Struthio camelus: one gene and its partner. The protein of the gene in region 1 interacts with the protein of each later gene in a pairwise test. Links are inferred from orthologs where the notes say so. Each region holds a gene or a part of one and is shown on either strand. Other genes may lie near its edges. The genes, in order: CNKSR1 and CYTH3.

Region 1 (14,958 bases):
CCCGCGGCGGCCCCCCAGAGCCCCGACACCCCCATGCTGTGGGCGCCCGCCGAGAAAGAGGAGGCGAGGACGCAGGGGGCGAGCGGCGGCATCGTCCCGCTGCCCGGCGGCCGCCCGCCGCCGCCGGCCTCCCCCGGCCCTGGCAAGCAGCCGCTGGGGCTCCGCGTCTCCCTGCCGCTCTCGGAGAAGGAGCGATTCTTCAACTACTGCGGCCTGGACCGGGCGCTGGTGGAGGTGCTGGGGCAGGAGCGGTTTGGGCCGGCGGGTTGGGACGCGGCCTCGGCCCGGCCGCCGGGCTCGTGCGAGTCGGAGCTGGGCCGGGCGTCGCGGGGCAGCGGGGAGGACGGGGAGGCGGGCGAGGAGGAGCCGGGCGCCAGGCTCTGCTCGGCCGTCTCCGTCGTGGAGCGCAACGCCCGCGTCATCAAGTGGCTCTACGGCTGCCAGCGAGCCTGGGCGGCCGCCAAGGAGTCCACCGTCTGAGGGGCCTTGGCGGAGGGAGAGGCGACCCGACCGGCGACGGGGAGACCCCGGCCGGCCCCGTGCCGGCTGCATACGGCCCGCGGTGCCGGATGGACGTGGCGCCGGCGGCGGCCGTGCCAGGCCGCGGCTGGCCGGGAGAGCCAGCAGGTCTACCCATGGGGAAACTGAGGCACTGCGGGCTGGCCCCCGTTGGCCACATGGTTTCATGCCCTTGGAGACCGGTCTGAGCCCGGAAAGGGCTGCGTTTTGGGGGGTGTGGATGCTCGGAGGAGTGTGATGGGGGTGTCCGGGGGAGGAAGGGTTTCCCCCCCGCCAGGTCCTCCTTCGGCCTCTCCTCGGCGCTCCCCAGCTCCTGCGGAGGGTGGCGGGAGAGGGCAGCAGCCCCGGCGTCGTGGAGCCAGGCCCGGTCCGGGGGGGCGGGCAGAGCCCGAGCCCCCGCTGCGGGCAGCGCCCGCCCGGCCCCCGCTTCCCGCCGGGCTCACCGGATCCGAAGGGGAAAGGGCTGCGCGGGACCGGGGCAATGCTCAATAAACCCGGCTGTGTTTTTAGCCCGGCTGCGTATGCGGTTTGTGCCGGGCGCGGGGGCAGCTCCCCGGCCCCCCGGAGGGGCGGCCGCGGGCAGGGCTGAAGAAAGCTCGACGCGGCGGTGGGAAAAAGGGGCAGCTCGAGGTCTTTAGTGCAGACACCTCCAGGCAGGCAGAGACCGGCCAAAACTCACTGCAAACGCCCGCCGCGGAGTTACCCGGCTCCCTTATCCGAGGGGGTAGAAACAGCGTCGGGGAAGGGGGGCAGGCCGGGTCCGGAGCAGGCGGCAACGCGGGAGCCGGGGGTGCCGGGGCAGCGCTGCAGCGGCCGCCCGCGCTGCTGCAGAAAGTCCTTCCGGGCGGCTCCTGCTCTAGTCGCCCTTGGGAGCATTTTTATTCCGGATCTCGGCAAGTTTGTCGGCCAGGAAACCCCAGCCGAAGGCCCCTTCCTCGGGCTGGCGCAGGTCGGCGGCCGGGCCGGGGCGGGAGCCGCCGTCGCCCGCGAAGTCGCCGGGCTCCCCGGGGCTCTCGCCCGGCTCCGGCTCATCCGACGCCGCAGGCTGCTGCCACTTGGAAGCGAAGAGGTCCCAAAAGCCGGGTGCCTTGGCGGGGGGCAGCTCGGCCGGCGAGGCGGACAGCGGGCTGGGGAGACAGCGGGGGGACGGTCGGCGCTTGGGGAGCCGGGGCCGGAGAAGGGCGCCGGGACCCGACTGCCTCCGGCTGCTGGGGGGTGATGGCGGAGACCCCTCTCTCCCCCCCCCCGCCGTCCCCCTGCTCCAGCCCTCGAGCCCTCCCAGCAAAGCTTCCCCAACCCGTCGGGTTTCGGAGCCCGCGGGATGGACGCATGGATTAAGGAGCAACGCGGAGCCGGTGGCGGCAGGGGGTTTGGGGAGGGGGGGGGTTCATTGGGGGGGGGGCGGCGTGTTGGATCCCACTTACCGGTCGGCGCCGGGCTCCGGGCTGAGCAGCCGGCGTCCGTCCTCGCGGCCGAACAGGGCCGAGAGCGTCTGCCAGCCCCTGGCTCCCGCGCCCTGCACCTGCGGACGAGGCATGGCGCCACTCACCCGGCCCGCGGCCCCCCCCGGGGCGCCCGCCCCGGCCCACCGCCCCCCGGCCGCCCTCACCTTGCGCGCCAGCTGGGCCACGGGGCCGGCTGCCTCCTCCGGCGGCTCGGCCGCCTCCATCCGCTGCGGGGGCTCTGCCTGAAACGCAGAGGCAAAGTCAGAGGGGTTTTTTTTGGGGGGGGGGTCTGACCCCGCTTTGGGGTCCCCGCGCGGCCCCGCCGCCCTACCTCTTCGTCCGTCCGCTCGCCGCTCAGCGTCTGCAGCGCTTTGGACTTGTAGAGCCTCCAGAAGGCCTGAGTCATGGTGATGGGCTCAGGCGCCGGCCGCTCGCCCAGGTGCCGGGCAGCCCCCGTGTGCCTGTTCCCGGGCCGGGCTGCCCCCCCCCCCCCCCACTCCGTGGGGCTGGCGTGGGGGGCAGCGGGGTCACGGGCCTCCCCCCCTCCCCAGGGATCCGGTGTCGTCATTAAAATTTTAGGGGCTGCCTCGGCTGCACAAAGAGTAACCCAAGCCGGGCCGGGTGCCGGGGGGGGGTGGGTGGGCAGAGCGAGGGCAGCTGCTCCGGCCCCCCCCAAACCTCCCACCCTGGCCCCCGACCACCCCCCCCTCCCGGCACCCCAGGGCCCCTCGCCCAGCGGGGTGCCCCGTCCCCCCGGGGCCGGTGCCCGGCCGCAGCGCGGGCGCTGGGGGCACGGCGCTGCCCCCTCCCCGCTGCACCCCGGCTCCCCATCTATTATTGATTCCCCGGGGCGGGCGGTAAGGCGATCGCTGGGGGCCGGCGGGTCGGCGCGGCTCCTCTGCCCGGGGCTCCGCGGGGGCACCCGATAAGCGCCGCGGCCGCTCCGGGACCCCTTGGCCCCGGCTCCTGCAGGGCCCGGCCTGCTGAGCCCTGGCCAGCTCGTCGCAGCAGTGGTTGGAGCAGGGCCGGCCCCGGCATCACCCCTGGCCTCGAGGGCTGCAGCAGGGTGACAGCGGCAGGGTGACAGCCGCCACCAGCGGCCGGTCCCACCCCGAGCGCCCCAAACCGTCCCCGAGGTGATGCCGCGCTTCGAGCAGGCCACGCCGCCCCGGTGCGGGGCCAAAGCCCAGGGGGAGCCGGGGGGTTTCGGGGGGACGCGGCCCTCCCGGGGGTCGGCCACGCCGCAGGGTGCAAGCGCCAGGGCCGGGGGGGGGGGACCAAGCGGGGCCGGGCAGGGCCGGGGTTTGGGGCCCGGCTCCCCCACCCCCCCCCCCAGCGCGGCGGGTCGCGGGGCACCGAGTCCCGCGTGGGGCCGCGCCGGGGGCGGGGCCTGGAGGGGTGGGCGGGGCCTGCCGCCGCAGGGGGCGGGGCCTGCCGCCTTCCCCTCTCTCCTTGCGGTGCGGCGCGCTGACGTCATCAGCGGGCGCCGCCGCCGCCGCCGCCATCATGTCGCCGCGGAGCAGCCGGCGCACGGGCGCCCACCGCGCCCGCTCCCTGGGCCGCCAGGGCAAGGCGAAGCGGCGCCGCCGGGACCTGGACGAGATCCACGCGGATCTCAGGCCCGAGGTGGCCGCCAGGCTGCTGCGGCAGGAGCCCGACCCCGACCTGCCGGGCTGCGCCCAGTTCTACTGCCTGCACTGCGCGTGCGTCACGGGCCGGGGGGGGGTAACGGCCGAAACGGATAACGGCCGCGGGGGGTGGGGGGGGCCGGTCTGGGGCAGGGGTCGCTCTAACCCCGGTAGTTTGTCCCGGGAAGGGATGGAGGCCGCCCCAAGACGGGGTGGGCTGGTAGTGGGGGGGCTGCCGCTGGGGCCCGGGCAGCGGCTGCCTCACGCGAGGGCCCCTCAGAGGCGGCTGGGCTTGGCTGTCGCTCCCTGTCCCCCGCCCCGCTCCTGCCTCGGGCTCCTCTCACCCTCAGTCTCTCCCTGCAGGCGCTACTTCGTAGATCTGACCAGCATGAAGGAGCACTTCAGGTCCAAGGTGCACAAGAAAAGGTAAGTGTGGGGGGGGGCTTCTGTGGCACTGTGAGCCGCCCGTGTGGGTCCTCGTGCCATCCCCGGAGCTGCGCCTGTAGCCACAGGGCTCTGCCCTGTCTCCAGCTTTGGCAGGGTGAGGCTGGTGGTGTCAGTTCTGGGCCAGTTTGTACAGGAGTTTGGCTTGTTTTAAGGAGATTCAGGTGAACATCAGAACTCACATGGGTGGTTTAACAGTAATTTCTGCCTTCTTTTCAGGTTGAAACAGCTGAGCGAGGAGCCGTACACGCAGGAGGAGGCAGAGAGAGCGGCTGGAATGGGATCCTACATCCCCCCAAAGAAGGTAGAAGTACATACCCAACCGATCGATGAAGAAATCGAGATGGAGGCGTCCAGCTGAGTGCAGCGGACTAGAGGGCCAGGGCTGCCCTTATTACAGTGCTGCAAAAAAGGTGTTTTGTTACTGAGCCCTGTGAGGAAAACGAGCTCTCTTCCAGCCTCCCAGCAACGAAGCAACAGTTTTCCTGGCAGCTTTCCTTGCTGAAGAGCTAATGAGGAGAAGGCAGCCAGAGAGACCTTGGATGCCCTCGTTGGGGAGGGCGCTTGTGTACTATGTGCCTGACAGCAGACTGTGTTCCCCTTCCTGGGGAAGGGACAAGCAGCAGCTTGGTGTAAATGTTATATGGCTGTGCACTCATCTCTCTGGTTTTAGAGCAATTTTAGATACTTCTCCTTGGGTTAGAGGTTGACACCTCTAAGTCACCCATTAAAGTATGTTAATCAACAGGCTGGCAGTGTTGAATGCAGAATTCTTTGCTAGTGTGGTCCAGGCTCTGGCTTGGAGCAGTGCTGAGGTAGTGGGGACAGCTGCCCTTCTGGATTGAGGGTAGTCTCTCGATTTTAAACTTTTCCTGAACCTTGGAAGTGAAATATTCCCAGAGTGCCTATCAGTTTGTAGGAATGGCCTCGTCACAGTTCTCCTGCCCTGACAGGAAGGTAAAGCTCCCTCTGGTTTGTCTTCCGGTGAGGGGGATCCTAACGCGTTGGTGGAAGGTGCAGCACAGGAGCTTCTTTTGGGGGACTGTGTGCTGGAACGAACTGCTCTTCAAGCCCTTGGGTCTATCGCAAGCAGCTTTTTGTGTTTCTGGCCCTGCCTGATTTGAGCTCCCAGAGTGGGCCCTGATCCCCTGTGCGCTTTGAGGGGCAGGCGCTAATGTGTTCCCAGCAGGGACACCTCCGGGCTTCTGCCCACTAAAACGCAGTGCCTGGTGAGTGGTTTCATACCCCCAGAGAGCAGCGGCATGGGGCCGCGCACCCAGTGTGATCCAGTGCCTACCGCGTATCCCCCAGCCCAGTGCTGTTCTGTTCCTGCGCAGGGATCCTGCTTCAGCCGCCCAGGCTGTCGGGTGCTCCCGCCCCTGCTAGGGCAGCGCCTCCCTGCTCGGCCTCTCTCTGCTATGCGACTCCAATGTTTGCAACGCTTCCGTGTTGCAATGGCACTGACTGCCGTAAATTCCTGCAGAACAGGTTTGACTGATACAACTGTGGCACTAAAACAACAGATGAAAGGTTTGTCCCCCCTGCTGAGCCACAGGAGGAGGGAGCGCTCAGCTGTAGCAGCAGAAAGGCAGCGAGACAGTGCAGCTTTGCTCAGAAGGAAAAGATTTATTTGCATGCAGACTGACCAGATTTCTTCCCCCCAGGGTTATCGAGGCAATTAAACCTAGTTCTCTAGTTGGTATCTAAACACTCTCTGCTAGGGGCAGCTTTGCTCCATGCAGCAGCTCGGAGCAGTGTGGGGTTTGGTGTGCAAGAGGGAGAGGTGGGAAGGTCCTGGTGGGGAGATGGGGCATCTGCCCCCTGCTCGCAGGCAGCAATTCTCCGATGGGAGCCAACCCTGTGTCCTCGTTTCCACTCCCAGCCTCTTGCTCGGAGGCTGATCTTGGTCCCAGCCCTCCCAGCTCTGTTGTTATCTAACAGCGCTTTGCGCTGACCTCTTTTCTGCCGGCTGGTGACGTGGGGCTGCTGGCTGAGCCGCCCGGGGAGGGAGGAGCGGCTGTTAATTGGAGCTGGCCTGACTGCAGAGGCAGCACGTTCCCCTGCGCCGGTTCGGGGAGGGAGCCCTGTGCGGCTGCCAGCGAGGCGCAAGGGCTGCGTGGGCCCCTCTCCCGGGAGCAGGGTGGGGAGAGGGGGGCCAATGCCTCACCCAGGCCCTCCTTTCCATGCGTCTCTGTTCACTGAGGCTCGGTTGTCTCATGGTGGCAGGATCCTGGCTTCTCGGCAGCGGCTCAGTTTAGGGCTCAGCTTGCCACTGCCTGAAATTGGGTCCCTGGGCTGCGCCTGGCAGCTCTTGAGCTGGAAGGTGACCCTGGCTGCCAGCTCGCAGCGTCGGTTTGTGTTGTTGGGGAATCGGAGTCAGAATCGGGTTGGCTTTTCCATCCTTTGTCCTAGCTCCCAAAAGGGGGACAAACGTGTCCCCTCAGCTCCAGGGCAACAAAAGGCCAAGGCAGGGAGGGGAAGGGCAGGATGCAGCGTAAGCGGGCTACGAAGGGGCTATGAGGCGAGAGTGAGTCAGGAGACGCATCCGGCAGCTCCCCGTAGCCAGGGCTTGGTGAGCGGAGCGGGTCCGGCAGCTCCCGTGCCACCAGCTTGGGGCTCGGCTGGAGAGAGCGGGGAGGGGTGCGATGTCGCTGGAGCCCGGGACTGTTCCCTGGGCCAGGCAGCGCCCGCCAGCTCCCCGGCCTCACGGCTCCGGGGAGGCTTTGGCGGGGCCGGCCATCCGCCGGGCGCTGTAGTAGGAGAGGCTCAGCCCCACGGCGGCCAGCAGCAGGGCCAGGTGATTCACCAGCCGGTCCCTCGGCTCAGCCTCCCGCCACCCTGCCAGCTGCATCTGCGGGAGGAGAGGAGAGCGCTGCGAGACCCGAAACCACCCCGGGGACGGGACTCGGTGGCCCTGGGAGCGGGGACAGGCCCTGCTCCGCTCCGGCACGCGCTGGGCTAGCCCGGGGGCTGCGCGAAGACACGCGTCTCCGGGTACGCTGACCACGGCCGTGCCCTGAATGTCCTGGCTGCGCCCAGAAGAAACGCGGAGGGATTTAAGGGAGAAAGATGCAGTTTAGCCAGGGGCGCGAGGGTGCTCTCGGGCTGGGCTTTCTGCCCGCTCGCTGGGCTCTGCCTTCGGTGGCAGCACCCAACGCTGCACCCTCGCAGGCAGCTCCAGCCCTCTTTGGGGCCGGGAGCTGGGGTACGGCCGGGCATCGCTCGCGGCGGCAGACAGGGCTCGCGGGCAGCACGGTGCCGGGGGGTCCCCACGTGCCCAGCCCCAGCCCAGCTCGACCCTTACCTGGAGCAGGCGAAAATACCCCGGGGTTAAGCGTCTCGGGCGGATGATCATGGTGCGGCGGGGAAGGGCGATGGGCAGCTGCGGGAGGAAGAGGAGAGCGGCGAGGCAGGAGGAAAGGCCCGCGGCTGGCATGGCCCCGCACGGAGATCAGCTGGATCGGGGGCCCCCCGGCTCCGTCGTCCGGGAACGGGGTCGGGCCGCGCGTGGCCCCGGCAGTGGGACCCCCCCTGCCGCCGAGTCCCTACCATGGGTCCAGCCCTGACCCGAGCCGCGGCCGGGGGCCGCCAGCCCTGCGCCCTGGCTCCGAAATCGCCGTGCGGCCGCCCAGCGCGGCGCGGCCGCCCATCAGCAGCTGTCAGCAGCGATCAGCGCGCGCTGCTCCCCCAAGCGCACGGCCGGGCGAGGGGGGGACGGCCCCGCCAAGGCACCTTCCGGGAGAGGCCAGCTCCCGGCCAGCCAGAGCGGGGTCTGGGGCTCGGCGGAGCTGGCCGCGGGGCCCCGGCGTGTGCCGCCCTGTGCCTCGGTTTCCCCACCTGCGAAGGAAGGGGGGGGGGAAATCGCCCCCGGCGGGGGTCCCACCCTGGGAGCTGACGGCCTTCCCCTCCGTGCTGCCTGCCTGGGGGAAACCAAGGCACGGCGGGCCGGGAGCTGGGGGGAGGCGCGTGCCCGCGGCCCTCCGTCTCCCACCCGGCAGCGCAGGACGTGGCCGCAGACACCGTCCCCGGCGGTTCAGGCCCAGCGCGGGGGGGAAATAAGTCAGCGGGGCCGCAGGGAGGAGAGCGGGCCGGGGAAACTGAGGCAGCGCGCGTCGGCGCTCGCCCCGCAGCGGGGAAACCGAGGCCCGGGTGCCGGGGCGGGGGGGGGTCTCGGTGGGCCGGGGCTCTCCCCGCTCCGTCGGGGCCGGAGGGGCGAGCGGAGCAGGCCGGGGTGGGGGATGCTGGGCGGCGGGGGCGGGCTGCGCGGCGGAGTGGCGGCCGGGCGCACCAATCGGGCCGCCCTTACCTGGCGCAGGTGTGCCGGCTGCCGCCGGGGCCGCGGCGGCGGCCATGGAGCCCGTCGGCACCTGGAGCCCCGCGCAGGCGGCCGCCTGGCTCCGAGGTGAGCGGCCCCCGGCCGGGCCACCGCCGTCCCCCACCCCGGCGGGGACCTGGGGGCGGCTGCGGGGAGGCAGCGAAGGGGACGGTGGTGGGGGGACGTGCCTGCTGGGGGGGGGGTCACGGCGCTGGCCCTTCTCACCCCCCGGAGCGAGTGGGGCGCGCGGGGTGCCGCTTCCCAACCTTGGGGGGGGGCCTCGTGCCCCCCCCCCCAACGCTGCAGCCGGGCTGCGGTGCCGGATGGGCTGAGACCCGGCAGACTCATTCCACGGTGAGGCGGTGCCCAGCATCCGGCTCGCCCCGGCTGCGCCCGCGGGGATTTACCGCCGCTCCCGCCAGCGTCACCCGGCGAAGGGGCCGTCGGGGCGGGGGGACCCGCGGTGTGTCCCCCCTGCCGCCCCGTCAGCTCCAGGGCAACGCGTCCCCGGGGCAGGCCTGGACGCGGCGGTGCAGGGGTACCCCTTCGAGGCCTGGGGGCTGGCCGGGGCCGAGGTGCTGCGGCTGTCGGCGGGCGCGCTGGAGGCGCTGGGCGTGCGGCGCGTGGGCCACCAGGAGCTGCTGCTGGAGGCCGTGGAGCAGCTGCGGGCGCTGGTGAGTGCCGCCGGCCCCCGCTCTCCCCGGGGCGTCCCCGCTCTCCCGCGCCGGGGCCGGATGCGGGCAGCATCCTCGAGCATCGCCCGCTTCCCTGCCGCCCCGGCGCCTCTCTCCTGCGCCAGGACGAGGAGCTGGCGAGCACCAGCCTGCGGACGCTGGCGGAGAAGCTGCGGGCGCTGGCGGGCCGGGCGCAGGCCCTGGTGCTGGGCGAGCAGCCCGCCGGGGCGGGCGCCGGGGCCGAGCCGCGGCCGCCCTCCCTCGACCTGCTGGCCTGCGTCGTCGAGCTCGTCGGGGCCGCCAAGGAGCTCTTCTCGTGGCTCAACAGGTCGGGGCCGGGAGGGCGGGCAGCCCTTTGCACCGTCGCTGGCCCCCCTGGGGCACCCAGGGGTGCTGGGCACCCTCCGCTCGGCCCTGATCCGTCTGTCTGTCTCCCTCTCGTGCCCTCCAGGTACCTCTTCTCCACCCTGAACGACTACTCGGCCAGCCGCGACATCGTCTTCCTCTGCACCGAGCTGGCGGAGGCGCTGCAGGAGGTGAGTGCCGCGGGCGGCTGCCCTGCCCTGAGGCCCCGGTGATGGGCATGAGCCGGGCTTTCCCGAATCCGAAGCCTGTGTGTGCTGGAGGCAGCCGTGCAAGCGCCAGGGCTCCCAGCGTTATGGGGGATGCGGCACAGGGGGTCGCAGGGCCCGTCCCCCCCTGCCCCAGGAGCCTGGTTTTCCCGCGGGGACCCTGGCTGGGACGGTGCCGGCAGGGCCCAGACTGCGCCGGGAGAGCGGCTCCGGTGGGGTCCGGGGAGGAGGAAGAGGAGACCTGGCGATCTCTCACCCTGCTGGTGTTGGGGGGGCTTCGGCTACCTGTAGGGACCCCCAGGCCGGACCCCTTGGGTGCTGTCTGGAGCCAGCGCTGCCTGCGGTGGCCCTTGTGCTCAGCCCCTTGCCTCCTCCTAGGACTGCCCAGCGGCCGAGAGGGATGGCCGGATCCTGACGATCGTAAGTGCTGGCCGGGGGCAGCCGGGGGGGGGGGGGGCTGGCAGCACCGTCGCCCCCCGCTCAGCCTGGTTCTGTCGCCCCCAGTGCCAGCACATCGTGGGCATCTGCGAGAGCATCGTGGGCTGCAGCCCCGGGCAGCTGCTGGACCGCACGGCCGTGCTGCAGCGCGTGGGGCTGGCGCCGGCTCTGCCCACCGCCACGCTGGTGAGTGCCCTGGTGGCCCCGGCCCCGGATCTGCCCGCCGCCCCGCTCACGGCTCCCTTCCCCGTCCCCCTCCGCAGGACCTGGAGATCACATCCACCAGCTCCGGCCTGCACTTCGTATCTGGGACCCCCTCGGAGGTGAGTTGGGCGCTGCTGAGCCCGTGCAACTCGTCTCACGAGTGAGCACAGGCCAGGCTGCAGCGGGAACCCCGCTCCGCGCCGTGTTTCCACCAGCCCCTGGGCTCCCTCCTGCCGGCCGCCCGGCATGGCCCAAAAGGTCAGGCCGGCTGGTTAATGTTTAAGCCGGGCTTTGCAAAGCCCCGCTGCTTTCCCCCAGCCGCAGCTCAGCTGGCGGTGCGAGCGCCTCGGGCGCTTCGCGGGGGGCAGCCACCGCGGCGCCCCATCCCGCTGCCTCCCCTCTGCCCCCAGGCGCTGGCCGTGCGCGGCCCCCCCATCCTGCCCGGGGACGAGATCGTGCAGGTCAACGAGCAGGTCGTGGTGAGTGCGGCGGAGTCCGTCTCCCGGAGCGGCTGCTTTGCGGGATGCAGGGATGCATCCCCGGAGGAGCTGCTGGCAACGTGTCCTCTGCACGGCGGGGGGACGGGGGGCGAGCGCAGGGCAGGCGGCCGCTGGTCCCACCGGTGGCCGGTGCCCTTTGCAGGTGGGCTGGACGCCCGTGAACCTGGCAAAGAAGCTGCTGGAGAAGCCGAGCGGGGCCACGCTGGTGCTGAAGAAGGTGCCCCCCAGCCTGCCCGGCTCCCCCCAGGCTGCCAGGCAGCAGGTGAGCGATCCCAGTGCCCCTAGTAGAGCCCCAGCGCCAGACTGGGCAGCAGCGGGAGGTAGGCAGGGGTGCTGGGAGCATCTCAAAGCCCCGGGGCACCGTCCCCAAGCGGGACGTGGGCTGGGAGTGACGCACTGCCCCGCAGGCAGCCCGCTCGGATGCGGCGGATCCCGCCGGCGCCAGGAGCAGCGAGCGCCCCGGCAGCCCCGCGTCGCTGAGCTCCAGGTGAGCCCCGGGCCTGGTGCCCCGCGCGCCCCGGCCCTGCGCAGCCAGCGGGTGTTCGGGAGCATCCGCTCCGCCCGGGGTGGAAAACGCGGGCTGGGAGCACCGCGACGGAGAGTAACGTTCACGCGAGCGTCCCCGGAAGCTGCCGAGAGTCTTAAGGCCAAAACAAAAAAAAAAAAAAAAGAGGCTCTGTTTGCAATTAAGTCACTTGGTAACATTTAAATAGGAGTTGCAACTATATTTAGAACTGACCCTTCTCCTCTCCCGGAATGGAAAGGCGTTTGCAGAGCCGTTGCCTGCTGCTGGCGCGTCCGGCCGAGGCAAAGGGGCCGAGGCCAGGCTGGAGGCGCCAGGCTGTGCCTTGATCTCCCTGTTGGGGCAAAAAAGCAGAGGGGCTGGTTTAGCCGGTGCCTCGTCTCTCCTCCACGTCGCCGCTTTCCCTCCTCCCCTGCTTTTCCGGGGAGAGAGAAACGCCTGCGCCCGGGCGAGCGGCGCGGGACCTGGTGCTGGCACCTCCGGCGCGGCCGCGGGACCGGCCCCGACAGGAGGGATATTTGTCCCTTCTCCCCGCAGCGTGGCTGCCGACTGGGAATCGGGACCCGACTCGGCGCCGGACCCCGCCACCGACGAGGAGGACGAGCGAGCCGCCAGCCTGCCCGGGGACCTCCTGCAGGGACTGCTCGCGGACGGTAGGGAGCGGGGTGGGGTGGGGGACGGCGTCTGGAGAAAAAGCAGTTGCTCCGTCGGGGATACGGATGGGTCCCGCGGAGCGGAGATACAGCCGCTCGGCTGCCGGGCCGCAGGAGGCTGGGGCGCTCCGGGCTCGCTCGCCGCAGGTGCCTCGGAGGACGCGGCGCCAGGGAGCAGCACGCCGCCGGGCGCCCTCACCGCCGCCGGCCCCGTGGACCTCGGCCCCCCGGCGGCCCCCGGGAGTGAGGTGAGACCCGGGGGGTCTCGGGCAGGGCTGGGGGTGGGAACAGGACGGGTGTCGCGTGCAGCCCGAGCGGCGAGGCAGAAGCCTCGTGCCGGGGGGCTGAACTCGCTGCCGCAGGGTTTGCAAAGCAGCCAGACGAGGAGGACCCTCCGTGGGCGGCAGGCGCAGCTCGGGGTGGGGGTCTCGGCTGCACTCCCCCCCACCTCCCCGCCTGCCCGCTCATCTCTAACCGCTCGTCTCCACCTCTCCACCCAGGGCAGCCCCGAGACGCGCCGCAGGCCCAAAGGTGAGCTCCTCAGATCCCCCGACGTGCTGCGTGGCCCCGCCGCGGCAGGGGTGGCCGCCCCCCGTCCCCGGGAAGACGGCGGAGCACGGGCCGGGGCTGCCCGCGGGCGCTGGGCACCACCTCCTCTGCCTCCCGCAGGAGTGGCGACCAGGCTGAGCCGCCGGCGGGTCTCGTGCCGGGACCTGGGCCGGGTGGACTGCGATGGCTGGCTCCTGAAGAAGAAGGACCACGTGGGCTTCATGGCCCAGAAGTGGAAGCGGTGCTGGTTTGTGCTGAAAGGCCACACGCTCTACTGGTACAACCATCCCAATGTGAGTGGAGCCCACCGGGTGACCTCGCTCCCGGGGCCAGACCCCGGGCGGCTGGGAGAGGAGCGTGGGGCCAGCCAGGCTCTCCAAGCCGGTGAGCAGTGGACGGTGGTGGACCTTGCTGTGTTTCCCCTGCAGGATGAGAAGGCCGTGGGTCTCATCAACGTGGCCACCTACGATCTGGAGAGCACACGGGAGCAGAAGAAGAAATAGTGAGTGGGTGTTGATGCCATCATCTTGGCTGTCTCGCCACAGACCTCCCCATGGCGGTGCGGGTGGGACGCTCTCCGAAGGGCACGTGCCGGCAAATCCTGCTGGGTGCCACCTGCCCGTCCCAGCACAGCGCTGGAGGGGGTCGCGGCTGTGCTGGCAGGACCGGCTATGCTGTGGCGTGGGATGTGCGTTGTGTTTCTGGTGGTATCTGGGATGTGGCCGACAGTAGTATCCAGAGCATCTCCGATGTCAGGGAAAAGCCTGACCCAAGCCTGCAGGCTGGATTGGGAGCAGGAAGGCTGCCAGCATGGGGGAGGCTAGATGGGGGCTTAGGGTTGCCTATGGTCGTGGGTGACCCTGGAGAAGCAGCAGTGAACGCAGCTGCCCCCTCACCCTTCTTGCAGTGTTTTCCAGCTCTCCCACGAGAAGTACAAGCCCTTCATCTTCGCCGCAGAAACGCTGGCTGATCTGAGCATGTGAGTAATGCCCAGGCCGGTCCTGCCACAGACGCAGCCCAGAAACACAATCCCGTGGTTTGCAGTGGCTCAGGCCACAGCGGGGAGCGGGCTGGCTGTGACCATCCATACATCTGTCTTTTCTCAAGGTGGGTCAGTCACCTGATAACAGCCAAAACGAAGTACACGTTGGCCCACCAGTCGGTCCCGCACAGGGAGGAAGGTAAGTGCAGCCTTTTCCAGGACAGTCCAGGAGGTGGGAGAAGGGGTCGGTTCCCCCCAGGGGAGATGGGGAGCCTGCAGGGAGCTGTGGGGCTGCAAGGACCCAGGGTGTCCACATGGCAGCGATGCCTCATGGATGGGTTCCTGCGTGGGAGCACTAAGAGCTTTGCCCATGTCCTGAGGGAAAACCATGGGAACTGCCTCTCCCGGCAAGGAGAGGTTGAGGGGAGGGATGGGGTATGGGATGATGCTTAAGCTGGGAGGGCTGGAGGGGCAGCCTGGCCTCTGCCCCTCTGGGGGCACCAGGCCGTGGTTTCCTGCTGCCCTCCGGACTCACCATCCTCCCTCATTGCCTCCAGACTGCTACAGCGAGACCGAAGCCGAGGACCCAGATGACGACTCTCCCAGGCCCAGCTGTCACTCTGTAAGTGGCCCTGTGGGAAAGGGGACATCCTGAGGAGGGGAGATCCTTGTCTCACCTCCTGCCCCATCTCTCCTCCAGCCAAAGAGGAGGCTGCAAAATGCCCCGGAGAAAGCCCAGCTCTTCCTGGCCACCGGCGAACCCAGCAGTGCAGTCAGCAGCCCCCAGGGCAGCCACCAGTCCCACTTGCCCATGGGTAGGTGCTCGAAGTGCTCGGGGTGGTCTGTGCCCTGTGCTGGATGGAGCCCCATCTCCATTAACCAAGCTCATGGCCACCTTTTGTCTGCATGTGGTGGTGGGAGAGGTTAATCCAAGTCCTTGCAGGCCTGTTGGGACATATCTTAGGGTGTCTTCACCCTCATTTTGATCTATGGCCCAGTCTCCCCTTTGGATTTGGGATGCTCTTGGGACAGGGTTGCATGCAGGGCAACCCTGCGGGTGTTCAGGGCTGTTCGTATGCTGTGGTGCCCCCTCTCGCCACCTAGACTCTGAGGAGGAGGACCTCGAGAGCCTGATGCAGTGCCTGAAGCAGGGGGGAGTGTCCCTCATCGGGCGGCAGCGGTTTCTGACGGAGGAGCAGTACCGCAAATCCTTCATCAAGCGCAACAAGAACCCCCTCATCAACGAGAAGGTGCACCTGGTGCGGGCCCTGCAGAGCACACTCAAGGTGGGAGCCCCTGGTCCTCTCCGGCCCTTGCCCTGGGCTGTGCTCAGCATCCCCCAAATCTCCTTTCCTCTCTGCAGGCAAAGCTCACGGAGCTGCAGGTCCTGGAGCAGCTGCTCAACGATGTCACGCTCACCTCAGAGAAGTTCACGTGCTGGAAGGAAGAGCACCAGGACCTGTACCAGGAGCTGCGGGAGTGGTGGGTGCGTCAGCAGGGCCAGGACTTTGA
Region 2 (15,046 bases), on another chromosome or scaffold:
GGGGGGGGGGGGGGGGAAATCAGGAAGACGTCACTGAATTGCTTATTTATCAGTACACCTAATCAATATTACCAAAGGTTGCCCTGCGTTTTCAGCTTACTTTTGAACTGATAAAAGGGAGAGATTCAGTAGTTTTACTTGCAGAGTGCGGATGAAGAGCACAGGGCTGTCCAGCTTGGAACGGAAGAGAACTTGCAAAAAAATTTTGAATTTTAAATGTGAACCTATAAATAGTGACATGACTATTCATGATAACTCCATCGGGACTGGATGTATGATAAGACCTCTTTCTGCGTAAGTAAAGCCGTTTGAGGATTAGGGCTGGAAAAAATGGAATTATTTCAGAACACAATACCACAGCATAACATAGTGCTCTTAAAAATGAGCAGAAAGCTTTATATAAGCTCTATTACAGTTTTACAATTATGAACATTTATATATAGCTATAAGTAATTGCAGAGCACTGTTAGCCCAAATATCCAAGGGAAATTTCATAATGCTTCCTATAAAAATTGTTGAAATGTCTACATACATTGTGGAGAAACTTTACAGTGAAAATACATTTTCAAAATACATATATTACAGTGAAAACTTCCATTAAATGTATCAATTTCAAGAGGAAATTGCTGTGCACAAATTAAGCCCCTGATCCTGTAAGCAGATGATGGATGCCTCAAAAGGGAGCTGCCAGAACATACCACTAGAGTGGATCCTAAATGAGTCAACTTCTCAACCTCCACAACTGGCAGCCGAACCTGAACGCGCGCAAGCACGTGCACACGCATACTCCATCTCACTCTCCGCTTCTGTCTCTTTTTGCGGCAGCTACCAAGATCAGCTCCTCGGCTGCTCAGCCACGGAAGTAAACTGGCACGTTTATTGCACTAGAATTGATAGAGCTACGGTGCGGCTGCCCTGTGAGATACCTACTTACCGCCCAGCAACGTTACGGGAAATCTGTGTGCAGGGAAGGCAACACTACAACCCGCTTACAACCACTGGCACAGTACTGTCAATTTTAATAACTATTACTAGCAATTGTAAGGCATTCCTTGTCTGGACAAGGCATCCCTTGTCTGGACAAGGCCTCAGGAGCTACCAGAAACGTTGCAATACAACTCTCAGACATTCCAAAAGCTTTTGGTATTAAATTCTTCACTATAGCCAAATTTAAGAGTACTTTCTCAAAACAGCAAGTTACAGTGAATTAAACAATACATTATGAAATAATTTATCCATTTAAAACAAACAAGAACCAAATGGAAACAAAATCCATCATAATAGGGTAGTAGTTTTACTTCCCAATATAGCTTTTATAGATCTCCGAGTACTAGCCAGCTCCTGTGGCCTGTGAAGGGGAAGGTAACTTTCAAAAAATCCCTAAATGTACTTTGTAAACACAAGAACAAATTTTAAATATTTTTATTTACCTTTCACCAAGGTAATCTCCAATTACCGTTTTATTTAATCCTTCTCCTTTATAAAGGAATTGTGCAATGTCTTCTGCAGTGTTCTGCAGGAGGTCATTTTCTATCAGAAACTGTATCCCCTAGGAAGAGCAATTCCAGAGGAAAAGGAACGTTATGTTTTCTTCCACAAACACTTATGTACATATTGCTCATGACATTTGGCACAAATATGTTGACACAGACATATATTTCTCATACTGTGAATTAGATTAGTCTGCAGATTAAAAAGAATAGTAAACAAAAGAATGTTTTCAGTTAGACAAACAACATTTAGTATGAATTTACAGATTCAAATAAGAATGCATTTTTAAGGCCAGAAGTACTACGTGGCAATTTAAAATTCCTCAACGATAGAAATAACAAGTATTATTAAAGTAATGACTTCATATTGCATTAATGTGCAAATTAGTCTGTTCACCCTATTGCTCAAATGTGTGCCAAGTCATAATCTGCAAGATCATAATAATGAAGAGGTATACAGGAATAACTTAATTACCACTATGACACAAAATAAAGCATCTGTTATAATTTGCAATCAGCAACCCAATACATCAAGCCCCTACTTGCAGTAGGAGTTGTGGCTGAAGATACTGAAACCGGTTTAAAGAGATTATGGTTACTGCTGACACCGGCATTGTCACCGACTTCTGGCTGCGCTTCAACCGAGCTATTCGCAAAGGAGTGTCCATGAAACCAGTCGAGCTTCTGCCACGGAGCTTCTGCTGAAGTGAGGAGGAGAGGCTTCGCCACCATCCAGGTGGTGGTGTTGGATCGAGCCCCTGTAACCCTGCCCTGCCGTGAGTTACTGACCCCGCAACGGGCACGTTCTAGGGATGCCCAGAGAACCTGCTGCAGAGCACTAAAGAAAGGAGGCTAAGTTATACTAAGATTTTTTTAAAGGACGGAAAATATAGTATTCCAAAACTCAGCAGGTCATGAAGGGATGTCTGTCTTTTCTTTCACCCCATACCCCAAAGATGTTAATACTCCTGCTGATTTCACTAAAGGGTCAGCAGCATGCTAGTAAAAAGTAGAAGCAGCAGCTATAAGCAAACTTAATGTCTTGGATTCAGAATATGCACAGAAAAGCTTAATAGTTGTTCCAAACCTTTCCTATTAGAACATTTGATAATTTCAGAAATAATAATTTTTTCACTTTTTCATTGCAAATGGAATATTTATATATTTATATATATATATATATATATATAAAATCTCATTCCAACTTTGAAAATTTCCATTATTTTTGGACAGAGCAAGCACAAGGGTCTATAGTAGCCCTCAAAAAAGTAACTATCCTTCTGGTCGGTTGTTTCTGTTTTTTTATAACTACCACCTGCCTGACAAAAAAGTCAGTTTTCTGACCTACTTTGGCAGAGAAAAACTGTGATGTTACTACTCTTGAAGCGTTAAAAAAAATCTGGACTCTACTTTTCTCAAAACAATTTTATCATCAACTGAAAACTTATTTCAATGCCAGGCTGGCATTCTGAGTCTCACAACCTAATACTCTTACAAGTTATTAAAGAACAGGCACAAATGCGTTGCAAAGAAAACATCGGTTTATCATGAAGTAGAAAGAGCTGAGCCTTCCTCAGAAGCGATCACTTCAAAGCTTACTTCATAACTGAATATTTGTACCAAAAAATTCATTTGACAATGCAGTGTAATTTTTTTTTTTTTTTCCAACAGCAAGTTATTCAAACACTTTTCTCAGCTCTATCAACTGAGAGAGCACCTTCCTCCCAGCAAACATCAGCCACAGCAGTTGCAGGCTGCCTTCTTCAACACCTGGACCATATTATTCATGTTTAGTGAAGCAGACTGACCTGAATAGTTTTTTCAAAGGTATGAAGAAATATACATGTTACTGAGAAAAATGATGGAAGTGATTACAATTATGGAAAACAAATTTCTTTGCAGAGAAGCAGATACCTTAACGATACAAATTGATTTTTTTTGTCTTTTTTTTTTTTTTAAACTCTTCTCTTTAGGATGCTAAGGAACCATGAAGTAGATAGGCAGGAAAAGGAAATTTGTCTGGGAGAACAACTGTACTGCCTGGAATAAATGGTAAAATAGGCTATCCAAAACACCCTCTACTCCTACACTATCTTTTGACTCCGTGTAAATTTTTTCTGTAGACAGATGTTAGATGGGAGATATCTGTGTTAGTTTCACCTCCCACACAAAATCCAGGCTTACAGAAATATTTAATATTCATTAAAAATGTCGCACAGGTTTTCTGAGTCAGCACAGTGAAATCTGCTTTGAATTTCATAGTTTTTACAGTAATTTACTTAGACATTTTCCTGTTGCTTAAACCCTGTCTTTATCATAGAGAATTCATTTCCAGACCGTACTGACTGCCAGCGCTGGGAATTTCAAGCACAACTGCACGATCCCTGTGCAGGGATCCTCGAAGCATTTCACAGGCTTTGTCGTTATAGCCCTTGCCACCCCAGCTATCCAAACGCAAACAACTAGTTACGTGATGTTACCTCACGAAACTACACTAAACACAGCGATCTCGAAACAGGCGGTTTTTTGGAGGGGAGAGAGGAGGAGTAATCGCTCTGCATTAAGCGCTGGAAAATTTAAAGGTCTTCAAATAAAATTTGAGAAAAATAGAGAAATTAGCTCTATATGTTCTTGCCAACGAGAATGTGTTAGATGTCTTTTTTATTATTTGTTTTTAAAGGAGAGAATTTGGGGAATTCAACACACGTATTGTTATCCCATTTCTTTCACATTCCTGTCTATGGAGACCATTTTCTCTCCCATTTAGGAAAAAAAAAAAAAAAAGTCCTTTTCCACAGTGATTCCAAGTTAATTCTCTCAAACATCAGAAGGACATATATTTTAGCTGCCTATAATTCAAAGTAACAGTTGCTAACAAAGAGATGATCCAGCTTTAGAGCAGCCAGCTCTTGCAGGCCACCACTGCTTCACAGACATCATTAAGGAATTACTACTGTAAGTCTATTCACCACATTTAAATTATGTTACAGGAGCAATGTGGCCACAGCATCTATTTATAGAAATAATTTCACCCACCAATAAAGACCAGCTAACATTGCAACGAAAATATTTGACATCATTCTGTGATTTTACCACAAACTTCTAGGAGGCAAAGGAGCTGGAGAAAACAACATATCAGGATATTTGAGGATATTCTGCCCTCAGCAGAACCAAAGTCAGACAGTCGCCAAAACAGACAAGAAAAATAAAAGACATGGTCAATGGCTTAAAAAAAGTTCTGTATCACAAAACACTAGAGTGCTTATGGTAAGTTGAAAATAGCCCCCAAAAAACAGTCGACATTATTGTACTTGGAACATCACAGAAAAGCCACCAAAACACAACTGAATTAAATACGTTTGGAAAGAAAACATGTCAAGAACAGACACAGGAAAACAAAGGCTTATTAAAAAATTCTGAAAGAGTTGTTAAAGATCCTTCAGAAATTCAAAATGAAATCCTAATGAAAACAACAGAAGGCAGTAAAACATAAAGCAAGAAAGCTCCAAAATGAAAAGTAAAGGTTAAAGGGGAAATCTAGGAAACCAAGTCAAATATATCAAAGCAACACTTTTTTTTTTTGTAATATATCAGAGGGAAGTCTACAAGAGAATGAGCAGGTCACGGAATTCTCAAGGTAAAACCGCTATTCAGCGGAGCAATGAACTACTTTACCTTTCAGCTAACGCACAGTAGCCTTCTTGAAACTGATAACCAAGTATCCACTTGCGGCTACTTACCAGTGGTACAGGTACGTATATATGTATGTGTGAACACGCGTGCATATATAAGCATACAAATCTATACACATGCATTATTCACAAACAGAATTTAGATAAGCAAATATAAGAGTCTATGTGAGAACAAATTTTGAAAAACATTATCGATATCTTAAAAGAACAAAAAATAGGGGGCAGACAATACATATGGCCTAGCTAGTAACCAAACTTCAAAATATTTTCATAATTACATTTAGCATACCAATACAAAACACCTCTATCAGGTGTAAATAATCTTTCTGCAAGCCAACTCAATACCTGGCATATTTGACCTTTGATAATATTTTCTGTTATCAAAAAAAAGTCTGCTTGAGTGAAAAAAGCATACATGACTGGCAAATGACCAAACGACTGCACCTAATTTAACCCTCTGCTCAGTATGTTAAAGGATAGACAAATAAGGCCTATGAATTTAACGCTATCAGACATGATTTCTTAAAGAAAACAGTCTATATTTGCCACAAATCACATCACTAGCAGGAACCTGAGTCCTGACAAGTTAAAAAACAAACAAATAAACAAAAAAAACACCACACAAAACACATGCTCTACCTTCTTAGGATCCATGTTGAATTTCTTCCTTCCCATAGCTACTTGCTTATTTCTTTGCGTAGCTTTGCTTCATATGGAGAAAAAGAAAAGGAAGAAACAAAAAGATTATCCCTTGCTCTTAGATAATTTCTGGACGAACCTCTTAACTTGACCGTTGGCTACTTTTGTATTTTCAATTACAGAACTGAGACATTTAGTTTTCACAAGGGGAAAAATATGTTACAATTTTAAATTATTTTAAGTGATCACAGCTTTAGAGCTGTATCATTATCAATAGAACAGCTGAAAGGATCACACTCTATCCAATATATCTATCACTTTCTAGCCAAAGCAAAGACACATCTGAATGGGATAAGACCTTATAACAGAGTGAAAAAAGGTGATCAAATGTTTGTTCAACATAATAAAGCTATCTGTATTTGCTGTTCCTGAAAGACCTGTTCCAACATCTTACTGAAGCATTCCCATATCGTTAGCATTACTTACCTTTCTTCTACGCTAGTCAGATTATCAATTTCTGTCATAACCTCGGCTATCTCAAATTTTAATCTCTGCCAAGAGAGGGAAGTAAAGTAAGTCAACCAACATTAAAGCATTTTTTGAAATTGGCTAGCATATACGGTTATGATCAATTAGTTTTTTTTTTTTTTTAATATTTACTAGTCATCTGAAGAAAAGTAGTGAACCTTCCTGAGATTCTTAGCTTAAAGATTTTAATTTGACCACAGCTGAATCACTGTTAAACACGTGGATCTTAACTCCCAGTGCGTGCCCAGGTCGGAACACCACAATCAAAAAATCCTCTTCCGAAAGCTGTTTTTCAGATTCTGTTCTGAATACAGATTTTACACCTATTATTCATCTGCTTACCTTCAATGTCACATTATTTCATGTTCTTTACCACTACAAGAAACATTAACCATTTCAATATAATTTTTTTTTGCTCAGATTTCTCATTCACTGCTACCCTGAATACAAAACTACTGTATATGAGATATTACACTAACCTAGAATATTTACATATGCACATGTTACATTACATACAGATATTAGCATTTTTAAAACATAAATGCTGCATAAATCCTTTTGATAATTAGTAAGATTTAGGTTAAGCCATTTAGATGCTTTTGAAAACATTACCTGCAGTTCATAACTAGGTAGAGGGAAGTGTTGCAGTGTACTGTAACTTAATCTACTGAAGCAGTCCTGTAAGAATTTTTAGAGATAAATTACCTCAATATCATCAATCAGTTCTTTTTTCCTGCGACGAATATTTAGCAGTTCTTCTCTTTCCTCTATGGAGAGGTCATCAGGCACTGAAATACAGCAAAAAGTACAGTCTTTCACCATTTGCAAACACACTTTACAGAAGAAAATCAGACTATGTCGATTAAGAAAAGCAAGTTTACAGGCAACTTCATGGCATTTTTTTTTTTTAGTCAAGATTATTTTCAGAGGAAAAAAAAGAAAGAAAACGGAATACTCACTTTACTGAAATTCTACTTTATAAATCATAAATTAGGTAATTAAATGAACGACTATGGAAAGAATCTGTCTTTCAAAGAAAGCCAGACAATTAAAGGGAATCTGTTCTCATATAATGGGTCATCAGATTTGGCTCTACAGTTACATTGCCAAATTCATGTCTGGCATCACTCCAATTGTTTCAATAACAGACCAAAATTCTCCATGTAAATTAAGTATGATTTAACACACATGCACCTGACTATCTTTTCAGGAAAAAAGGTAACGCTACATAAAACTCATTACAAAGACACGCATCCTGGTGCTGATTTCAGACGACAACATATTTTCAGGAGTACCCTTTTATTTGACTGCTTTGTACAGCAGATGCCTGTAAGTATAATACTACTAACATCTTTAACAGCGATTACTTCCCATCAGCAGGATAGACATCTTTCTACATTACAAATAAACAAACAGTTGGAATTAGTTATTTAGCACAGCATCTCACAAGCTTATGTTTTCATATAATATCATTTAAATAAGTCCGAAGTATTTAAGTCAATTTTAGATATCTTTTTGACTATGCTAAAACAAATATGCTACCATGTTGATAAAAATTACTTGCTACTGAAGATGCAAACACATTTCTGTACACAGCTTCGGCTGTCACTCACCCTAGCAGCAGCTCCCTTACCCCACTGTCTGCATCTGACAAGCAAACATGAAAAGTTGCTCCAAAAAACCTCAGCTTTTATTAAGCAATTGCATTCTCCCTAGCAAGAGGCTTCATAGGACAGAGACTACGCTCACTCACTTGCACAGCACTACCATATCAACCAAAAATATGCACCTGCTTTGCAACGAACCCATAGTATAATAGTTTTTCATGTGACTCACTCTCTTGGAAATTGCTCCAGAATTGCAGAACAACTTTTCCTTCAAGATTAGATAAAACAGAATATGTAAAACAAATAAAATTCTTTACCAACAAAAACATGTAAAAGTACGTAGTCATTTAAAAAGGCCAAAGTTGTTTCTTTATCTCATATGCCCGTGTCTAGCAGCTTCTAGCAACAGGATCAGGAGCTCAGACTTAGGTTTTATGGGATTTTTTTTAAAGATATATTTGAAACGTATCCTCTGTTCAAATCTTAACAGTGAAATATAGCGATTCTTTCTGGCAGCCAGTGATTAACCTCCTTTCCTCCTAGGAGTCTAAGCATAATATAAAATCCAAATGGCAACACAGCTTGTTAAACACAAAGTAATTATGCCAAATGATCTAATTTAACTCTTCCAGACACAAACGTAATTACATTACTCCCAGCTTAGGAAATGATAAAGTCTTTTGTTGAAAGAATACCAGACTTGAATATGTTTACCTGCTTTTTCCCTTCATCTCCCCAGAACCCTACCCATTCCTAAAAATTTCTTTCATGCAAATACTAACCGATTCTTTTTGCAAAACTTACAAATACATTTGCCTACCCCAGACATCACAGCTTTGTCTCACACGTACAGCCCAAGATTTTACATTGGCCAAACTCAAGAGATTTTCCTGACTACGCACACACTAGGTACACGCAGATACCACAGTCGTTCCAGTTACCTGACGACCTGACAACAAAATACGAAGCCTGTTACCTGAAGCTGATTATTAAGGTGGCAAGACGTGTATAAGCACTCAGCCTCTTAGCTGGGAAGTACGCTCCAGTATCCCTAAAGCGCTTTTGCAGTAGACGCAACTAGATTAGATTTTGCAGTATCAGTATTAGGAAGTGTTTGGGGCTTTTTGTTTGTTTGTTGGGGGCGGGGGGGTTGGTTTTTAACTTTTGGTCACAGCAGACGGTCTGGCAAATCTCATCTTCATTAGCAATTGGAAATACAAATTCAAACCTAAATAGACAATAACCTTTAAGTATTAAATGGTTAGTAACCATAGACGGTGCTCGATTTTTACTTCCAATCAAGTGACAAAAATCTTTGCAGCAGCTGCTCTTTGGGCGGCAGGATGCCGTCGCTCACCCTTACTGCGGTTTCTTTTCTCCAAGTCACTCTGCAGCTGAAGCCCACCGGGGTAAGGGTGTGGGACGCCTAGGACAAGTTAACGTCTCCTTGGAACCAACCCAAATGGCGCCACAGCAGTCTACCCTCCAGACAGCCACCGAAGAACAGAAATAAAAACATTTCAGTCCTTTTCCTACAGCACCCACAGACACTCTCCTGGGTTTTTTTTTCCATTTCCTCTGACAGTTCGCAGCAGCCACAGAGACATAACCCTCCTGATATGATTAATGATATTGTCACACAGGAAGGAAATAAACTAAACGGAGCCACGCCGCCGTTGGCCTTCGGAAGTCGCATCGAGGATCTATCTGCCAGCAGCAAGACGAGCGCTGTCTGCTGGCGGGACGGTTCTAAAGAGAGCGCTTGGAGGCGACGCCACGTCCGGACAACACCGTCACATGGCAGTCCTAACACCGAAGCCAAAAAAGGCTAATATCCCTTGAGAAGAATAAAGAGCCAGGACACAACTGGGTAAGCGTTAGGGTACTGCTTGGGCTTCTGCTGTAGTCAGGGCTTTATTTCCCCTTAGCCCGGCAGCCAGCGAGGACAGATCACTTCCTTGGCAGGACAGATCACTTCCTTGGCAGGATGCGCAGCTCCTGTCGTCGCCCCAAACTGGCCCGTGTGTGCAGACAACCGTGGGAGTTTGCTACGCGCTCACCCCCCTCCTATCATCACTGCCTCCCTTCTCCAGCGCTCCTGCTCGCGCTGAGGAGGAAACGGATCCATCGGAAAGTGAACCCCCCCACCTCCCCAAAAACTTTCTTAACAGGCTGCGTGGGCTGTCACAGACCGCAATTTCGGAGGCCTTACGGTTCTGCTCCAGGAGGCTGTGTGACCTCAGCCATGTCTACTGCCTTCTCCATGTTTCAATCCCCCTTCTTAAAACACAAATGCAACAACAGTATTTCTGTATTTCGGTGAAGGGCTTTGAAACATCAGCACTGTAAGGTATTTTTACCTTACCTGGAAGGAAAGGAACAGCAGAAGATGCTCAACTGTGGCTTAAAACATTGCTCATGCAAGAAGGGCACCACTAACATTACTTTTTGCTCTCGAGAATCTACTCTGCATTTTTCACTTCAATTATTCTTTGCTTTTCAGTGATCTCTAGTGATTCAAAAACACATGGAAAACAGGAAAAAACCCTACATTCTACTTCTAAATAAATAAAATGTTGCTTCAGTGATATCAGACCTGTTCCAGACTCAAACAGCAATTGGTCAATCCAACGGCAGTTTGAGGCGCCTTCTGCAACCCGCCGTGCAGCTACCGCAGCGAGAGCCAGCAAACCATGTTCGTTTTATTTATTCAAAAAAAAAAATTGAAAACCCACAATTGAGATGTTTGACACAAAGACTTATTTTACAGCTGCTGAAAACAAACGTAAGATCAAATATGGCCAAAAGTTTAACAGCAGTGCATTAAAACTTTCTTACAGTCATAAGCAAATATTGCAGGTACATGACACAAATATCCGCTCTGACAAGACTGCTTCCATTAAACAACTTTGACTCTTCCATAGCTAAAATACTCAAGTTTGTTGTTTAACCTTGTGTCCATATAACCCTTCGTACAGAAGGGCTCCTAGAGCGCACATTACGCATTTGTCCCATAAGACAGGTTTTCTAGCTGCCCTCTCTCAGTCACTTCCAAGTTTTCTGCGGTTCACCAGCTCTAAACACAAAGTAGACAGGATAGGAGGAGTCTGCACGAACATTTAAATAACAAAAAGGAACAAAGATCCTCTGGAGGGAAAAGTGTTACAGCATAGCGAACAAGCTGCGGGTGCACCATGCTTTCATGATGTCTTCTAGTCTTTAAATAAAAAGAATGTTCTATTGCTAACGCAACTCATTCATGCGACAAACCTTTTAGCCCGCGTGGAAAGCGTTTCAGCTGCTACTAAATAGGAAGTCAATTTAGTTACTGATCTTTCATTAAAGAGGAACAAAGTTATTGAAAGTACAAATTATACTCTTAGCCAAGTAGTAAAACAGAAGAACGCACAACAGCACATATATATGTATCTATATATCTATATATACACACACTCACACACACACATATATATAGTTACTACTAAAAGTTACCGAAATTTGAATAGATATCCCCAGTTTGGTCTATCTTTGTTCAATTACTGTAACTGATCTAAATGCATTTCATTGTATTTCTTCTAAACAAACATTTACTGGAATATGCACATTTAATACAGGTTTGTTTACAGTAAATGGGTTACCAAAAAACCTAAAAAAACCCAAAAACACCTGTAGTTTGCCATAGTAATTAGTGTTTTGTCCTGCAGTTGTGATGTCACTTTCTTAAATAAATTCGCTACTACTACTGACAACACAAGTACAGTATCCAAACAAGAATATTAACCAAAAACCCTTAAAGCTTATGAATACACAGTAAGCATCTATTTCTCTCTACTAAAAAGCACTGGAATCAATTAGCTTCTTAGGTGCTGACATTTAAGGTATAGCAAAATTTAAAAAAAAAAAAAAAAAAAAAGGTGGGGGAACAAATTCAACTGCAAAATGCAATGCTTTACATTCTTGTTTCCTGACAATTCCTCTACACCATCATTTGCTTTGTTTTACTACATTTCAGTGTATTTTCTTCATATTTATTTGTTAAGCATTAAGCAAATAAATTCAGCATTATGTAAAAGCCATTTATCTAAATGCAGCGTTTTGGGGCAAGCAGGCACCCAAAAAGAAAAAAAAAAAAGTCCTTTGCAGATCAGGAAAGGACTGCAATAGATCAACATGGAAAGACAGGCCCACAGGTTAGTGGAAATCGGGAGCAAATCCCAAAATTAAAAAAGGGAAATTTAGTACTTTTCCAAGTCCAGATCTCTGATCCCTTCTTCAGGAGGGAAAGTTAAATCGTTTCCACCTCTCCAATTACATTATATGAACCAAGAAAACTGAACTCCTATGTTTAACAACTCTTACTTACTAGCCTTTCAATTTGCATTCACTGGCCAAGACATAACGCAATCGTACTCCACCACTTCAACTGATTCCAGAGTTTAGTCTCTCAAGAAGACAGCAGAATAATTCATAACTAGAAGAAAGAAAATATCTAACAATATCTAACAATAGATAAATCATTAATTCTCTAACCCCATTCATGAAACAACATGACTCCCTGACTCTTATAATTCAACTAACTGTTTGGTTTCATAAAGATAAGTATTTTCCTTTTGCCATGTCACCCTCAAATTGGAGCTATCTGTGCTTCTGCTCCAAGCAAAGAACGATCAGGAAGGGATTTAATTTAGCTGCAACTGAAACATCTTATAAGTGTAAAGATATTTACACAACCCAAGGTTTAAAACAAAACAAATCTATCCTTGCCCACATAGAGAATGAGTACGGCAGAGTCTTCAGGCCTTCAAAAAAAAAAAAAAATACACATTCATCTCTGAGAACAAATCTGATTGTCTCAGGACATCAGGACATTTGTCTCAACGGATATTCTCAGGCCAGTCTCTTTTCCTTTCCCCCTACATGCTCCCTTTTTTAAACTTAACCATAGGAACAGTTTCCAGCTTTTAGACATGACATATAAACAAAGCTGCGACCACTTGTGGCTATTAAAAAATTCCATAGAAGTTTTTGTAGGAGGACATCCTCTTGAATAGATTTACTTCACTGTGCGAGAACAAAAAACATATCTGCATTAAATTCATCTTGGAAAACTAGCAAGATTTTGTTGTTTTCTTAACCACCTTACTGCGTTATTCTATGATTTTTAGACACTGCGGAACATGTTCTAGCATAGCAGCAATCACATTTCAGTTAAGAGTGAAAATGATTCTGCACACAATATCCTTCCCAATACAAAATTACCAGTTCATGGCAATGGTAATTATCATGGAGTGAGGAGTTTAGGACTGGACCATGGCTTGCAAAGTTATTTTGAGACTTTTCAGTCAGGAGGGACGCTCTACGACCAGACTCTAGTGCCACATTAGTGGCAAAATCCACTGGAGAACCTCAGACTGGCACCCATCATATTAACTGTTTAACTATGGGACAACCCACCATTACCAGATGTTGCTAAACACACTATTCACTCTAGGACCATAAGATATTTTAAAAATACCTGTCCTTTTGGACTTCTAATAATATGTTAAAAAAAAAAAAAAGCCTAAGTTAATATTAAATCTACTACAACATGAAAGCATATTTAATTATACCAGTTATTCATATTCAACACTTTTACTGAAAGAACAAAAGTGGGAAAAAAATGAATATGTCTTTTCTATCCACAAAAGAGACAGAAGGATCATGGTACTGCCAAATGTGAAATCATTTTTTGTAAAATGATTTCAAATAGGTAAATGACTGAATTCTGACCGAGGAAAAAAAATATTTAATCTCTATTAGCATTCCTAGTCAAACACAGTAGGCAATTCCAAAGTTCTGCAAAATCAGATAAGACACATCTGGGGGGAGGGAGGGGGAGAGGATCTAATTTATGAAACCTACCTGCCCTCCAAAATCAGCGTTTGGTTTCACCTGTCACACGCACACGAGTGCTGCCTTGCTTTGATTTCATATGGTATTATCCTTAACTTATGATTTTTTTGCTCCACGTTTTCTGAATAGCATGTATTTTTTACAGATTGTTTAAAGCTGAAACCGAAACACTAGAGTAGATGTACCATAGGCTTAGTCTCATTAAGACAGTCTTTTCTTTCCCTCTAAAGCTCACAGTGAGAGCCATTAACGAATGTATTAAAATTAAGACATAATGTTTATAATCGGATCAAGAGGATTTATTTTTTGATCTGTTCAAAGATGGTAGATGAAGTAAGCAAAAAAAATTAGAACTACCAGCAAAGATTTTTAAAGCACAATTTACTGACTTCAGACAAAAGGCAAGCCTACCCCAAAATGAAACTTCCAATGCCTGTGATGAAATGCATGCATTTCACAAATGCAGTAAGTTATCCATACATATGCTTATGGTTATAAAGAATAAGCCATGACAAATGCATTTCTTGACCTTAATGGAACAGGAGCATGCAGTAAAACTACAGCTGTAGCATATGTCTTTACAAACTATGTAAGTACATAATATGAGCAACAAAAGCTGCGTAGAAGTGGAAGAAAAGAGTATAAAGGCTTGTCACAGGTCTCAGTCTGAACTACTAGCCCTCGGTGCTACCTATTAGCTGCCCTTCTTAGCTGCACTAAAGCACAAGCAGGCAGAATTTTATATCAGATTTCAGATCTGCACCTATATAGATATACCCTTAGAAACAACTTAAGAGACATCTAACTTTTTAGTTCCTAATTATGCGATTGACACAGATATCTGCTATTTGAAAACAGAGTGTGTTTAAGTTAATGAGTATTTGCTTTTACCATGCATGCTCTCTTACTTTTATGAACAGGCAGTAGCGAAGACTGCAATTACCTTACATTTACCTCCCTTACATCTTCTAGTCAACAACATATCTTATTTCACTTTTAGATGCATTTCCATTAGGAAACCAAGTGCTCTGCAAAAAAATAAAATAAAATAAAAGTAAAAAGAACTACCTCCAAGTAAAGAAAGGAGCACTTGGGAGAAAGAAATAGAAACATGCAGCAACCAGCTCTGAGCAATGTTTCGCTAGCTGGGTAGCCTGGCGCACAGCATGCTGGTACCTGCTCCCTTTACGTCCCTGCA

Evidence for each region.
Region 2: the proteins of CNKSR1 (region 1) and CYTH3 interact in binary tests that used the Homo sapiens proteins (3 or more experiments, as listed by UniProt). The two-hybrid records come from large-scale screens. The link is inferred for Struthio camelus from reciprocal best matches to the Homo sapiens genes CNKSR1 and CYTH3.

What each region holds. Positions count from the first base shown.
Region 1 is NC_090964.1:7,135,402-7,150,359, reverse strand, and holds the start of CNKSR1 (connector enhancer of kinase suppressor of ras 1), read left to right. Parts: upstream 1-8,371; 5' UTR 8,372-8,386; coding exon 8,387-8,438; intron 8,439-8,840; coding exon 8,841-9,025; intron 9,026-9,150; coding exon 9,151-9,353; intron 9,354-9,476; coding exon 9,477-9,561; intron 9,562-9,975; coding exon 9,976-10,017; intron 10,018-10,101; coding exon 10,102-10,221; intron 10,222-10,298; coding exon 10,299-10,358; intron 10,359-10,649; coding exon 10,650-10,718; intron 10,719-10,881; coding exon 10,882-11,001; intron 11,002-11,146; coding exon 11,147-11,226; intron 11,227-11,799; coding exon 11,800-11,915; intron 11,916-12,029; coding exon 12,030-12,163; intron 12,164-12,415; coding exon 12,416-12,446; intron 12,447-12,584; coding exon 12,585-12,757; intron 12,758-12,892; coding exon 12,893-12,966; intron 12,967-13,371; coding exon 13,372-13,443; intron 13,444-13,571; coding exon 13,572-13,645; intron 13,646-14,003; coding exon 14,004-14,068; intron 14,069-14,146; coding exon 14,147-14,261; intron 14,262-14,550; and 3 more. Other genes in the region: protein FAM110D, read left to right, coding at 1-480; C23H1orf232 (uncharacterized protein C1orf232 homolog), read right to left, coding at 1,376-1,646, 1,944-2,041, 2,129-2,206, 2,296-2,370; ZNF593 (zinc finger protein 593), read left to right, coding at 3,471-3,667, 3,956-4,018, 4,256-4,397. UniProt on the Homo sapiens protein: May function as an adapter protein or regulator of Ras signaling pathways.
Region 2 is NC_090956.1:9,136,438-9,151,483, forward strand, and holds the start of CYTH3 (cytohesin-3), read right to left. Parts: upstream 7,172-15,046; coding exon 7,055-7,171; intron 6,373-7,054; coding exon 6,308-6,372; intron 5,889-6,307; coding exon 5,822-5,888; intron 1,550-5,821; coding exon 1,431-1,549; intron 1-1,430. UniProt on the Homo sapiens protein: Promotes guanine-nucleotide exchange on ARF1 and ARF6. Promotes the activation of ARF factors through replacement of GDP with GTP. Plays a role in the epithelial polarization.